Linked DNA regions of Lonchura striata. Each later gene encodes a partner of the first gene's protein in a complex. Links are inferred from orthologs where the notes say so. Each region holds a gene or a part of one and is shown on either strand. Other genes may lie near its edges.

What was found. The genes of interacting proteins can lie anywhere in the genome.
Region 2: the proteins of KIT (region 1) and SOCS6 are in contact, whole or in part, in a crystal structure (PDB 2VIF), measured with the Homo sapiens proteins. The link is inferred for Lonchura striata from reciprocal best matches to the Homo sapiens genes KIT and SOCS6. Residues at the interface, in NP_000213.1 of Homo sapiens: Asn566, Asn567, Tyr568, Val569, Tyr570, Ile571, Asp572, Pro573, Thr574; in NP_004223.2 of Homo sapiens: Arg391, Glu395, Arg409, Asp410, Ser411, Ser412, Asp413, Ser419, Phe422, Thr428, Leu429, His430, Thr431, Arg432, Phe442, Tyr443, Glu444, Gln445, Val448, His460, Asp464, Ala469, Phe470, Cys471, Tyr472, Ser473, Arg474, Ser475, Arg476, Thr482.

The regions. Positions count from the first base shown.
Region 1 is NC_134606.1:27,108,995-27,116,171, forward strand, and holds the start of KIT (mast/stem cell growth factor receptor Kit), read left to right. Parts: upstream 1-4,143; 5' UTR 4,144-4,210; coding exon 4,211-4,289; intron 4,290-7,177. UniProt on the Homo sapiens protein: Tyrosine-protein kinase that acts as a cell-surface receptor for the cytokine KITLG/SCF and plays an essential role in the regulation of cell survival and proliferation, hematopoiesis, stem cell maintenance, gametogenesis, mast cell development, migration and function, and in melanogenesis.
Region 2 is NC_134603.1:56,548,335-56,555,510, reverse strand, and holds the start of SOCS6 (suppressor of cytokine signaling 6), read right to left. Parts: upstream 3,025-7,176; 5' UTR 2,830-3,024; intron 2,779-2,829; exon of another isoform or gene 2,700-2,778; intron 2,125-2,699; exon of another isoform or gene 2,103-2,124; intron 773-2,102; exon of another isoform or gene 696-772; intron 1-695. UniProt on the Homo sapiens protein: SOCS family proteins form part of a classical negative feedback system that regulates cytokine signal transduction.

The DNA of each region.
Region 1 (7,177 bases):
CCCAATGACAATCCAGCAACAAAATCAAGTAAGACAAAACAACACTTGAATTGACCTGCACTGAGTCAATTTTCAACAGTGGCCTGTGCAAATAAAGCTGCAAGTGATAAAGGCAAGAACTACACTTGGCAGTTCACAAAGACAAATCTCTTTTCTTAGTAAGATTGCAGGCTATAAACTAACAAAAAAATACTATCAAGAAGATTAGAGCCTTTATATTCCACTTAAGCTTAGACTGATAAAACAGTGTTTACAATAGTGTGCTATGTGTGTGATAATACAAGATGTCTTCAAAAACAGCATATATTTCAAGCTTCAATTACGACTATATCTAGGCTCTCATTGACATTCAATGCTGGAAAAATTTTTAATTAACTAGGATGGCAATGCTGGTTTAAGATCACAGTCACAATGGGATTTACTGAGTATTCTCCACAATTGGATTAAAAGGGAATAAGCTACACCTCTCACTTTAGTAATACTGAACGGATTCAGTTTGAAGATTCTTATTCCAGGGGGAATGAGATAAAGGTGTCCACTTCTTCTGAATTTATTTTAGTGTCATCCCTCTAAAAATAACAGACATTTCATCAATTACACTGGCTGAAGACATTATAATCCTGCCATCTACAGATGAAGTCTTAAGACATGTGCCTATCAAATGCTATCAGTTTTCTCCACTTACCCACCCTAACATGTCAGCGTGGAGAGCAGAAGACGAGAGATTAATAAAAAAAATGAAATGGGATGTCCCAAAATCTCAGTTTCTAGAAAACAGGTCCAGCTGGATTATACCTTCTTGTACCAACAGTTTAGACCAGCAGACTTCACACACTTTTCTATTTTTTTTTAATATTAATAAAACAGAAGGTGGAGAAAATTCACAGCTACAGTTTAGTCAATTTGGATCAAGATACTGCAGAGTGCTGAGTATATATTTTTGCACAGTGGTCATATGACATTCCTAACTCACTCTTCAGAAATGATGCTTTAGATGAATGCACAAGGCAGAAATTTAACCACTTTTTACTTTTTAAAAGCTTAACAAACTTTTATGCCTGTGATTAGATAGGTTTTACTGCAACACTGGTAAATCAATATGTGTTTCAAACTTGTGTAATTTCTCAAAGCCTTCAGGAATCACAGAGGAGTTAATTCTGGAGCTGTCTGGTTTGCTGGGGCTGCCAGCTTATATGAAAGAGCCATGTTCCAGCCTAAAGTCTGTCAATCTGCAATTTAGAAAAAGGAAACTACAACCTTATAGAAAAAGTTGTTATTGTGGGCAATCAGGAAGGATTCTAGCCACATTGATTGGCTGTATCAGAAGAGTAATTCCTCTCTTCTCAACAGATACATTTTGTCATAGATAAAAAGAGTCTAAGATTATTAATGCTGTAAAAAAGGTTTTCATAGCTCTGACAAATAAATTGTTTTAAACCATCAAACTTGCTCATTTCTAAATGCATTTCCATTCAGATACAGAAATGACAAACCCTTCATTAGAGCAGCAGTATTTTGTTGACATTAGCTTAATCTTACCAATATTATTGACCTATTCAGTGTTTACTTCAGCAAGCATTCCCATGGATATCTAAAAGCAATATTTTGAATTGACTTTTCAAAGGAGTTCATCCACAAATTTTAAATCACTTTCAAGCTTTCAAAGGGAAGTGAACTTTTCAAATATAATTTCACATATTTCTCCAAGCTTATCGCTCTTATCTCCAAATGTGTATTGTGTCCAAAGGCTGCAGATCTCTCTTGTCTCTCTCTTCATTCCACACTCTCCCAAATGTCAACCTACTGCAAGTTGTCTCCAGCAGATGATGAGGAGAGATGGCACTACCTGTCCTAACTCACTGCCATAGTACCACAGTGACAACTGAAGAGAGAAACACGTGAGGCTGGCTGCAAAGTCAAAGAAGAACCTTTCTGGTTTATGCTCACATATTTCAGACAAAGGTAGGAAAAAGACCTAAGAGAACCCTCCACTGCTTAAAAAACTTTCTTTTGCTTCTATAATGCAAACAGGATATAGACAACAAAACTTACAGCATTCAGTGCAATACACTGAAAAGGGCAACTGCATTTATCATTTTAATTATTTAAAATAAATGAAGGGGCAAGGTTAAAAGCAATTCACCTTTGTTTCCCACTTACTGTTGCTATTTATAGTCAGTCAAAGCACGTGGAGAATACTGTTGCCACTTTGATTTTGAGATGTAACATTGAGCTAATGTTTGTGAAAATGAGGCATATGATGCAGAGCCATGCGGAGTTCAGATTCATGTGATCAGGGATGTGCAGGACCTAAAGGCAGGCCACTAACTGAAGGAGCACTAATCAAGGAGAACAGGGAAAAACCTGCCACAATAACAACATCACATGTTCCTTGATAATGCTTTAGTGAAAACCTCTTACAGTATAGTGCCCTACCTTTGCATCTTTAAGAAATTAAGCGTTCCAAATGTTTACATTTAAAAATTCAGGCTCACTTTTTTTCTCCTACAGAAACAAAATCCAGAGACACCTGGAAAATGGGGGGGGGGGGGGGGGGTGTGAGGGAAACGACACTAATAAATTAAGTATTTCAGTAATTTTTTCCTCCCTAAGGTTAATTTGATGAGGTTAGCACATAGTAAGAAATAGGATTTTAAGATGTTATTTGATTTTGAAATTGTTGGTGTGCTAACAAAAAGTATTCTGTTTTGCAGCAGAGGAAGGATTCACCTATCAAAAGAGACTGGCTGTCAGAGATGAAAGAGAGTAAAGAAATGGAGAGAGCCGTTTTAAACATGCAAGACAAGACTTTCATCTCATGCTGGACCATGTGGGACAGTGCTATTAACCTTGGGAAAAAATCTGACAGGAGTGAAAAAGAAAGGAAGATGAAGGGAAAAAAAAGGAATATTTACCTTCAATAATTTTTCTGATCTGTACTGACACATTTCAAGAAGTCTACATTTATGCTTTTCCAGTGGTGAAAGTTTTGCCATATGTCCTCTACATCTTTCTGTACATCCAGAAGTGTTGTTATGGATTTTCTGACAGTCTGTGTCCTTTGCCCACCTGCCTGTTAAGGTGCTGCCTGTGGATACCTTGGGCAGAGCATGGCTGGTGAATGCATGCATGGCTCCTTTGCCTGGGTCACCTCTATACCTTTCTTCCACCTCAACAGTGTGTGACACTGACTGCTAAAACAGTGTTAAAGCTAAGAATTTGTGTAGTTTGTGTTATTTCTGCCTGCAGAGCAGCTCCACTCCAATTCTGCAGTTACAGAAGTGAGTGCTCCCAGATCCTCGTCAGTGGTCTCATCGGTGCTTAAAAAACTCCCTCTGTGGGATTCCACAACCCCTTTTTGCAATGCATTTGTAGTCTAAATCCTCTTGCTCTTTGCAATCGCCTTCCTTACATTTAAGCGATTTTTTTTTTCCTGAGAATTAAATGGATAACTTTTTTTCTTGCCCTTGAGAAACATTAAAAACAATCACTCACAATCCTTTTCTTAAGGACCCTTTCCACGTTTAAGCTCCCTGTCAGTTTTCTCGTTTCCATACCAAACCAGCCACTTCTTTCAAGTCTTCGCTTTGTGCCACAGCACATACTTTTAAGTCTCACTCGAGGTGCTCTGGCCCTCAATAGGTGGTGGCCCACAGCGGGCTGGGTGGATGTCAGCAGTGCGAGCCAGGGCGGAGGCGATACCTTTGGCGCCTCCAGAACCAGCCAGTCGTTAACAGCTCCAGGGGCGATCAGTGAGGATTTCAAAGCTAGGCAAACGGCTTTGTACCTGCCCTTTAAGGGATGCTCTCTCCCTTTCCAGCTCCCGTGCCCGGCCCGGCCGCTCCCCCCACCTTTCTCCGGTCCACGTTCCACTTGGGTTTACGCAGCCCCGCGGCCCCGATCCCTCGGGCGCTCGGCGTGGCAGAATGCCGCCCGTGAGGAGGGCGAGCTCTCCCTCACGACAGCACTGAGCGCCCATTCAGCCACTGGGCTCGGTCCTTTTTCCTTAAACCATTCTGTTTAGGGGCTTTAGGTGAGCCCAGAGGAGGCTCCCGGGGGCGGAGGAGCTCCTCACCTGCGCCCATCCCCGCGGCGGCGGGGCGGGGGCGCGGCGCGGCGCGGGGCGGGGCGGGGCCGGCTCTACTCCGCTCCCTCCCGCGGGGGCTCGGGCATCTCCGCGCCGGGCCGTGCGAGCGGCAGCCGCGCCGGGATGGAGGGCGCGATCCTCGCCCGGGAGCTGGCGCACACCGCGCTGCTGCTGCTGCTTCTGCTGAGCCTCTTACCCGCAGGTGGGAGCCGCGGGCGCGGGCGGGCGCGGAGCCCCGCGGGGCCGGGGTTTGCACGGGCGGCGGCAGGGAAAACTTCAGCGCTGGCGGCCCCCTCCGCGGGGCAGCGCCGCGCCGGGGGTCGGCCGGCAGCCAGCGGTGTGCCCGGCATCGCCCCGCGCTGCCCTTGTGGGACGCCCCGCCGGGGGAAATAAAGTCCTTTGTTTGCCGTGCGCGGCTATCCGGGGCTGGGGGAGAGACCTGCAGGGAACCCCTCCACCCCCCTCCGCCTCCCCGGCCCGGCTGTTTTGACAATAAACTATCCGGGGATCGGTACGAAATGTCCCCGCGGTTAAGTGCTTGTTGAACAATGGGCAGGAACGAGCGGCCGGCGTCAGGTGTCCAGCGCTGAGCAGCGGTGTGCAGCCTCCCCGGTGGGGCAGGTGGGCTCGGTGCCCTCTGCGGCCGCCGGCGGGCAGGTGCCCCGGAGCAGGGCTCGCCGCGGGACCGGGCATCAGGGCTGGTCTGTTGCGGCGCTGACGGACCTTTGCGGTGAAGAGGGCAATGGGTGCCTTTCAGGCCTTTGGGGAATCAGCTGGTGCAAAAACTTTGGTGGGTAGGTTCCTTTCCAGTCTTTTCTAAAAAGGGAGTTTATTTGCTTGACCTCATAGCCCTGGAGCACAGGTCTAACGGTTTTAAATACTGCATCTGGCTGCAGAGCTGGGCAACTTCACACATGGCTTTCAGAGCCGCCGTGCATCTCCTTTCATGGTTTGTAGGCTTAGGAGGCGTTTGGCTGTGTCCAGGGGAAGGTGCTGGAAGGAGGTCGCTGCTAGACCTGGGGAGGAATTTAGCATTGGGCACTGAAGTCTGAAAGGAGATAACGTGAAAGGTTCTTTCGCTGCTTACCTCAGAACGAGCTGAGGATCCAGAGAAGCGATGCACAGCGATAGGTGTTTAAGGTTTGCTGCCACCACCAGAGAGGAGCCTTGCAGAGCACCCTGTGTGACACAGACGGGGAGGGTTCCGCCAGCCTCTGCCCATGGGAGCAGACACCTCTAAAACACCAGAAGCCAACAGTAGTGACAATTTACACTTCATTGTAAAACCGTTTAGGATGCCTTAATGATTTTGTTTAGGTAACTTTTTCTGTTTGCTGCCGTTGGTTTATTGGTAATCCGAGTAAATGTGGTATCTGGCAACTTGGGCTTTCCTATTTAGAAGTACCCACATAAGGCTGCAAAATGCTGTGGCCACAGGAGTGTAAAAGTCTCCTAAAAGTCTCCTACCAATGAGTTATTACTAGAAAGAATTTTTTAAGATGTTGACATGATTGATACCTGCCAACTTTCTTTACTTCATGAATTTCTTGCCTTCACTTCAAGGTTACCCTTCATCATATAGTTAGACTGTCCTTAAAGAAGGCTTGGGAAACAGATCACACTGGCAGCGTGTCCTGGAAGACAGAGGTGCAATTTCTGGAGTACTGAGGAAGCAAGGAGGAACCTTTCTCATGATCCTCCATCTCGTTCTGGGTTTATACACTTACTTGTGGGAGACTTCAGGGACACATCAGACAAAAACTTGTGTGAACAAAACCACACCATGTTGTAAGAAATAACTTGCTACTGCAAAAGACAGCTGTCCTTGGGTATGTATGTGCATCATCTGTGCATCACATAGATGTAGGAGTATTCTGGGCTGGTTTTGTGGTGCTGGGAGAGGTATCGGTGTGATGGTTAGAGTCCTGGCAGCAGCATAGGAACATCAGAAGTGATAGGACAGAGCTGATGTGCTGTTCTGGATTGCTCCAGAGCTAGTTCCTGTGCTGCTTTTGGTTTTGCCTCAGTGTAGATGCTTGGCTGAGATGATCTCCCTGTTCAGACCTATCCTGTTTATCAGCATACAGGTTTATAATAAGTATCTTTTTTTGGCTGTTGGTCAAGCGCGTCTTCCTTTGGTTGCAAACTGGGAAGGAGGATGTAGAAAACAGCTTAATGTAGCTTCTCAAAGGGTAAACCATTCATCTTTTCTGTCCACAGTCCCTTCCTAATTTTTGTTTTTCTTGCAAACTGACATGCTTCCATACTTCCTTCCATTTGGGACTTGCCTTGTCCTCATTTTGATGCAATATTCCGGAACAGTCTTTTCTCTCTTCTTCTCCTGTCCTCCCTCAAGGCTTGCTTTGTCCCCTACCATCCAGTACTCTGTGAGAGTGCCTTGCATTTCCATCCTGTGGTCATGGAAGACTGGACATGGTTCCTTTCAGCATCCATCCATCAATGCAACCTTTTTTTTTCCCCCCCAATCAGCTGCAGAGTAATAGCAGACTCTCCCTGTGCCCAGAGGGAAGAATGTCTGTTTTCATGATGCTCCCTGTTACCTATCAGCCATGAGGGAGGAAGCTTGAAGGACGAAGATTGAATTTGATGAGAATTTTGATTGCTGTCATTCAGTCACTGCCTTGACCCCCCTCAAGCCATCTGAGTATCCTGCCCTCCCTACTCCCATTTCATTTCTATCTCTGCTCTCTGTACTTTTCCTCCCTCCCCTGTGGCAGTGCAGAGTCCCCTGTGCAGAAATGTAGCCTAAGGCCACTGCCAGGAGCAGAATGGAAATGTCAAAAACTGCTCAATATTCAACTCTTTTTCCTTGCACCGCCACTGGGAACCTTTTCCCTGCAAGTGCCTGAGTGATTTTTGTTCGGGCTTTATAATAAAGAATGTGACAAATTTGGCAAGAAGTGAGACTGCCATTTACATCCTGTTTAAATAGCATTCATAGAGACTGAAGGCATTTCCACGTGCTTATTTTGCCAGAGAGAGCCTCTTGTCAACAGATGACTGCAGCTGTGGTACTGTGGGGTTGTATTGGCTCTCTGTGGGTTTTCTGTCTCGTTCCCAGCTCTCCCA
Region 2 (7,176 bases), on another chromosome or scaffold:
AACATTACAGATGTAATTATTTCTCTTCTGAAAAATAAAAAACATAAAAAAAGGGTAAACTCAAAGTTCTGTATTTGCTCTCAGTTTAATACTTTACAGTACAAAATATACAGCTACATGGCATAGGATATCTCTATTCTGTTTTTCATCCTATCCAATTTATACTCAAGACATTTTAGCATCTGCATTATATTCCCTTTTATGCTATTGGCATCTTATTTTCTTCCTTGGAGCATCAGAACTGCTTGAGCTACCCTCTTTTAATTTGTTGCTAACACACATTAAAGCCCCATCAACAAAACACTGAGGCACACACCAGCTGAGAACAGTCTCCTTCCTATCTATTTTATGTTATTGCATTGTACTACCCAAACACTATCAAACTAGTGCTGCGTAGGCCCAAGAGAGCCATAAAGAAAGAGGAAAAAAAGGCACTCGAGCTAGGGATTACCCTGGACTATGGCCCCACTTCTGCCAACAATAGCATAGCAAGTATATAGTGTACTCATGGCAGCCCTACCAAATGAAGTCCTGCAAGTGTTCATGTTCAAATTACTCTAAGACTATAAAAAAAATCATAAGAAAGAGCAGAAATAATTAACTTGCTTTGTATGAACAACTTCTAGTTAAGATTACACTCTCCCATTCCACCAATTCACTATGCCAAGGAGAGTCAGAAATCATAATCTACTCACAGAATAAGAACCAGTTACCATTTCTTCAAACCATCCCTCTCCAAGAGTAACCCAGGGTTACTGACCAACTTCACAATCTAGGATCAAAGAAGTTAACAGCATATTATAAATTAATACACAAATGTTTTTTAGATTTCAGTACGTCAAGTTTTTATGAAGCTACCAAGTCTCCTGAATCTATGCAAACACTTGGATGCTGCAATACATGCAGTGCATTAAAGTGATGCTCATGAAGCCCCTGGAAACAACACAGAGCTTCTTGCTAAATACTCCATACCCTTGCAGCTAATCCAAGAAGTTAGCTAATATGGGTATGTCTGTATAACAATACACTGTTATCACTTATTTAATTTAATTTTATCTTTTAAAAAATTTATTTAAATCTCAAAACTTGGGATATAGGGAATACATCCCTAATTAAGCATACAAGAAGTGAACCTGGTTTCAAGTAAAAGCTCAGTTCCAAACACAGTGTAATGCCAGAAACCCAAGAAATATCAAATAGGAAGTGAAAACAGTACTTGATGGGGGTTTAACACATCAAAAAACTGCATTTTGCAAAAGCTGAAATTGTCTTTCTTAAGTTACACATAAAACTGTGCATTATGACTACTATCTTATTGCAGAAGACTCAAAAAATACCTACACATTCTCTAGCTGTTTAGGGTCTTCCAGCCAAGCTAAGTAATTTGTTTCATAATCGCACCAAAGCTTCCCTATTTTCTACAATCCAAAGATGTGTCTATTAGCACAAACAGAAACTAGAAACAGAACCAGTTCTACTTTATTCCACCCATAGAAGAAATGCAGATGCATTATTCCTGGAGTACTTGTGCAGACAGCAGCACTCCAAGACAGGAGGCCTGCAGCAGGCATTTTTTAACTACAGGTGTATTGAGAGGATAGACACGGCATAAACATTCCTGGCCTGTAGGAAAGAGTGGTTAAGACCTCACAGTGAAAGGGTACAAGAATTTTTTAAGGGGAAGTCAGTTTCCCTGTCTAAAGCATATTCTATGAGCAACTACTGTAATGCAGTGCCCTACTCCACACGAAAAAAAAACATTGCGTTCCAAACCAAGATGATTTTGAAAACATAGGGAGACAAAAATAAAGAGGACAGAAAGACGTAGCCAAAGTACCCTCACATCACAGAAGCATCATCCTCTGCATTTCTCAAAACCCCGTTGTTTTGCAAAGGCTTTTTTCATAAGCAAACGGGCTGGCATGGACTAGTTGTTTTCTAAGAGAAGTGGCATCATGACAGAAAGAGAGTAAGAACAATGAAAGCGAATAAACTTTGCGGATCTGGTAATGCTTTTGTTGAAGGCAAGTTCTTAAGCGCTGTCTGTCATAAAAAGGAGCCTCTCTCGCTCGCCCCTTCGGGAGCTCTCGGCGCACCCTCACCTCGCAACAACCCGGGGCTCCTCCACCGCACAAATCCCGACACCGGCTGCCCAAATCGCCACCTCCGGGCACCCGCCCTGCCGGAGACGGGGACACACCAGCCTCAAGTGAAGGCGGATTTCACGGCGGGCTGAAGGAAAATCAGCCCAATTCCGCCGTCCCCCACAATGGCACCAGGAGGCGCGGGGTGCATTCGGGCAGCGGCCCAGGGCAGGAGCACGGGAGCCCGGCGGGCCCCGCTGCGGCGACTGGCGGGGACGAGAGGCTGGCCGGGACCCCTCCTGTCACGGCGGGGGCCGGGCAGCGCCTCGCCGGCCCGGGCCCGGCGCTGCTTCCCTCCCGCCCGCCCGGCCGCCTCGCAGGCCGCGCCGCGGCCCCGGTGGCTCCGCAGGGCCTGGCACCGCCGCGGGCTCGGGGAGCCCAGCAAACAAAGGGAGCCGAGGCCGGGGCCGCGGCCCGGGAAGAGGGCGGCGGGCAAGTGACGAACCGCGCCGGCCCAATCCACGGCTCCCCCTCCACCGCGCCGGCCCTCCGCGCCCCGCGGCGCGGGGAGGGGGCGCCGGGCCGCGGAGCGCCCGCTGCCCCGGGGACGCTCACCCGGCGGAGGCCGCGGTGTCCCGCTCCCGGCGCGGGCCTCGCCCCGGGCACCTCGGCGGCGCGGCCCGGCCTGCGCCGGCTCCCGGGCTCGGCGGGGAGCAACCTCCGGGGGTGGCGGAGCGGCACTCACCGAGGGGGAGGAGAAGGAGGAGCTGGCTCTGCTGTTGCTTTCGCGGGGCCCGGCCCGGCTCCGGCTCCCTCCCTCGCCGTGCCGCCGCCTCCCTGTTCCTGGCGCCGCCGCCGCTTCCTCCGCCTCCTCTGCCCCCACCCCTCCGTCCTCGGAGGGGCGCACGGGGGCGGCGAGCCCGCGATGGCCGCCGCCTGCCGCAGGCACGGCTACGGCTGCGGCGCCCGCGCACGGCCCGGCGGCGGCGGGAGGGCCGCAGGCATCCCCGCTCCGTCCTCGCCTGCCCGGCCGCCCCTGCCGCCCGGCCGGCTCCACCAGCCCTCGGCGGCCCTTCCCTTGCTCGGGTCTGGGCGCCTCGCCCGGGCTCGTTCCCGCTTAGCGGCCGCGGGAAACCCGCGGGGGGCAGCCGGGAGCCGCGCTGGAGTGGCAGCAGGGAGGCGGTCTGGCTTTGTTAGCCCCGGCCCTTTCCTCTCTCCCCCAGCGCTCCGGTGTGTGAGCGCTGCGCTGGGCTCCAGGAGCTCATCGGCCAAGTTCACAGGGAGCCACCTCCCCTCGTCGTTCTGGCGGGGGCAGCCCCTCGCTGGTAGCGCCCGGCCAGAGGGGTCCCGCGGCCGCCCCCCGCTGCCGGCCACGGGCGCTCCCCTCCAGGCCCGCTTGCGCTGGAGAGGGAGCGGGAGAGGGAGGCAGGGAGGTGATCTTTTCCTCCGCTTCACCTTCCCTCACACCTCTTGACGTGAAAGCGACGCGCCAGAACAGGCGTTACTTTTGTGCTCCACTCTGCTTCACAGATCTCCTCGAGAAATTGACACTAAACTTCAGGCATACCAGCTGTGCTGCAGCAACTTCAGCCAAGCAGACTTCTTTGATTGCTTGTTCCCCGGTCTCTTCTTAAAAATAAAATGCTAACTCCTGAGCAAGAAAACAATTCTTAGTTTAGGATGTGTGAGACTGATGGAAACAACAAGCAGGGTGTGAAGGATTAAAATCTATCGACGATACGGCTCTTAAAAGTTGTTGCAAGTTGTGTTTGCTGACTGAAAAGTTGTTGCAAGTTGTGTTTGCTATTTTACTGAGCAGCTAGTAAAATACTACCTTAGTTTCCTCCTTGTAGTGTATATAACTGATACAAATTAACAACCAGATTTGCACAGATAAGCACAATTTGCTTACCTATGTAGTCGCATGACAGAGTACTTGTATGGCTTATTATGAAGCAACTGACTTCAAGGTTAAGAAGTATCCAATGACACTCAAGATGTCATGCACATGCTCCTTGAATTCCGGGAGATCTGAGGTGTTAGTGAGTTCAGGTCAGTGACTTGTTTAACTGCCTAGGGTATTTGAGATCCGAGTGTGCCTTTATTGTATTCATATTTTTATATCCCAGGCATTTATAGAGAATTAAATACTTTCCTTGAGTCTCATTCAAGGGTCGTATGCTTCCTTATGTGTCGAATCAACCTCAGTTTCTGGCAGGCTGTGACCATTTCAGATGATGACTAATCAGAGTTGCAGAAAGAATGTTTTTTCTCAAATATAAGGTTTGACTTTTTAATTTATAAATAGAATGATTTATGTTTTAATTAAGTGTTTTAGATTAGAACTGTTTGTTTTACGATTATGATTACATATTATCAGTGGTATAACAAAGCTAAGAATCACTTCAAGTGGATCACATGAAACCTTATGGGTTTTAACTTTTGTTTGTAAAACAATATTGTAGATATGAAAAATACAAATTACTTCCTAGGTTGGCAGTGGTGTTCAAAGAAAGAAAATTAAACAAATAATAAAATACTTTTTTTTTTTTACAGCATTGAGCATTCCTTCTTCTCCTGTTATAAGTCTTATAAACTTATAAGTTTAGCAACCAAGTTAAAAAGGGGAATAAGAGAGAGCAAGCAAGGCTCTAATGGGGAATAATTTAATTTTTGTGCAGTTCTGTCATTTTGTGAAACAAGGAATTTTTCTTTGTGTGTGTGTATGATCTTACCTTCTTCTTGGGCTTCTTTTTCCTTGGGATACAAGCATTTGAAAAAGTAATTACTTTCAGGATTCTGCTGGCATTTGTGCTTGACACATATATGTAGTATTAACTTAAGCTTGTTTAGTATAAACTTTTCAGCAGCAGCTGTGGGACAATAGCAGCAGTATGTGAAGAAGCCAACTGGGCTTAAAATGTTTGTCCTTCATTTTGCTTTCAGGGAGCTTTTACCATAGGCAACTTTTGCAGTGATCTACCTTGCATATGAGATGAATTTTTAAAATCATCTTAGAAATCTTATTCTACAGTCTCTCAAACTACTAAAAAAACAGTTGAGTCTGGATGATGAGATTTTCCAGGCCATATGTTGACCAAAGGTTTCCATGTGTCTGAAAGTGCTCTCTTATCAGTCTTATGAATAAAAGGACTTAGCTTTTTGCAGAAATGGGACTGATAGACAACAGGAAGGTTGAAGAAACTTAATGCAAAATATTTGGTAGCTTTTTCCCCCAAATCTTCCATATCTTAACATTCTTCTCAGTAGTGATGATGTTAAATATGGCTTAAATTAGCATCACTACTCCAAGCACTCACCTTTCTCATTTTCTCTCCATCTCCTTCCCTCCTCCTGCCCGTGCACACCCTTTCCTTTTTTTCAGTGACTCCAGGCCTCATTGGTCCTCTCTAAGCCAGCTCAGGTGGCAAAATCTATTGAGGTTCATTTTCCTAACAATAAATTGTGACATAAAGGAGAACCGATGCCTTATTTCTCACATCTTTTTCTTTTCCATAGGCAACCAGTGTGCTCTTGGTTTGACTCAGTCTTAACATACAGCTTCAAGTTTAGGATAGACTTTTCCCCATGGAAATGTGGCAACAAACAGCCATATCCTAGTGAGAGCAACAGTTTATCACCAAGTCTGAATTCACACAAGTGTGCGACTGATGTTGCATCCTGGATGGCAGACAAGGAGAATGCAAGCGGGATCACTCAGTTGAGTTTTTCTTGGCTTAAAAACACATATTGAACTAAATTGGGCTGTTCGTACATTCATGCATCTTGTTTCAATGCTCTTTGTATGTATCACCTATCAGACTTGCTTCACAGTTGCTAGCTTTTTTGAAACTACAAGAACTAGAAATTTGGTCTTGGTAATAGAAAATAATTTTTTTCCCATCTGATTTCTTTATATTTGGGAGGTTCTAAAATCAGGAACTCTACACCCAGTTTTAATTACTTAGGGGTTGCATATTGATGTACTCTCTATTTTTATATGCTTATGCCTTTTCTCTCTTACTTAAAAATGTGATTATAAATAATTTTATTATTTTTTTAGATCAAACTGTGTATATACAAATCTGTAGTGCAGAGGGACAGGTCAGAAACCTAAATTATGAGTATTCACGGACAACAAAGCCAAAAGTTATGTCCATTGTATCTATTTCTTTCTTATTGCTATCTACCTGAATGGCATAGATTATCATCACCTTCTTACAACTTCCCTGGCCATGGCTCTTTGGCCTGAATTGTGGTGGGAGGTTAGTGCCTTTGTCTAACTGTTCTTGCAGTCATATAGCTCTGATTTTATTTTAAGCACCCAAATGCTTTCCTTTCCTGTTCAGTATATTTCAGAAAGGGAATTTGTTGTAATTTTACTGAAATGTTTAAATTATTGTAATGCTTTATAGGATTTTGATTTTTAGATCTTAAGTGTTCAGATGGCCTTGAAAAAACATATGCTTTTAAGGAAAGCCATATATCCAAAATCACTAAATTGCTGATCATTTTTTGTAACTGTGGCCTAATTTTATGGTTTTAAAATTCCTGTTCTCCTTTTTTATTATGTGAATTTATGTATTCCTTTATTTGTATTTTTAGATAATATAGTATATTTATATTCCTATGTTATAATATGTATTAGAAGTCCCCATATATCACATCATCACATATGGTTTTCAGACATTGTAGGTTGTTTGCTCCACTTTAGTTTCTCTTAGGTTCTTGCACATTTTCTGTTGATAAATTCAATTTCTATTATTAAAGTTCATTTATGTAAATATTTTCAAAGTGGGTTTTTTTTCTTTTTTTTGGAGGGAGTTCCCCCTCCACCCATTTTAATACTATTGTTACAAAAAAAAAAAAAAAAAAAAAAAAAAAAACCCAAAAAAAAACCACCAAAATGAAGTGAAGTATACAGGAGTTTCTTTCACACAGACAAACCTTTTGTCTCAGATTGGAGTTAAATTTGCATTATTTACTAGTACTGCTGAAATAAAAGGTATAGATGGCATTAAGACCTCTTACAGCTACTAAAAGCTATCATACATAAAAATTATGTGCTACATTTTAATCAGAGTACTGCTAT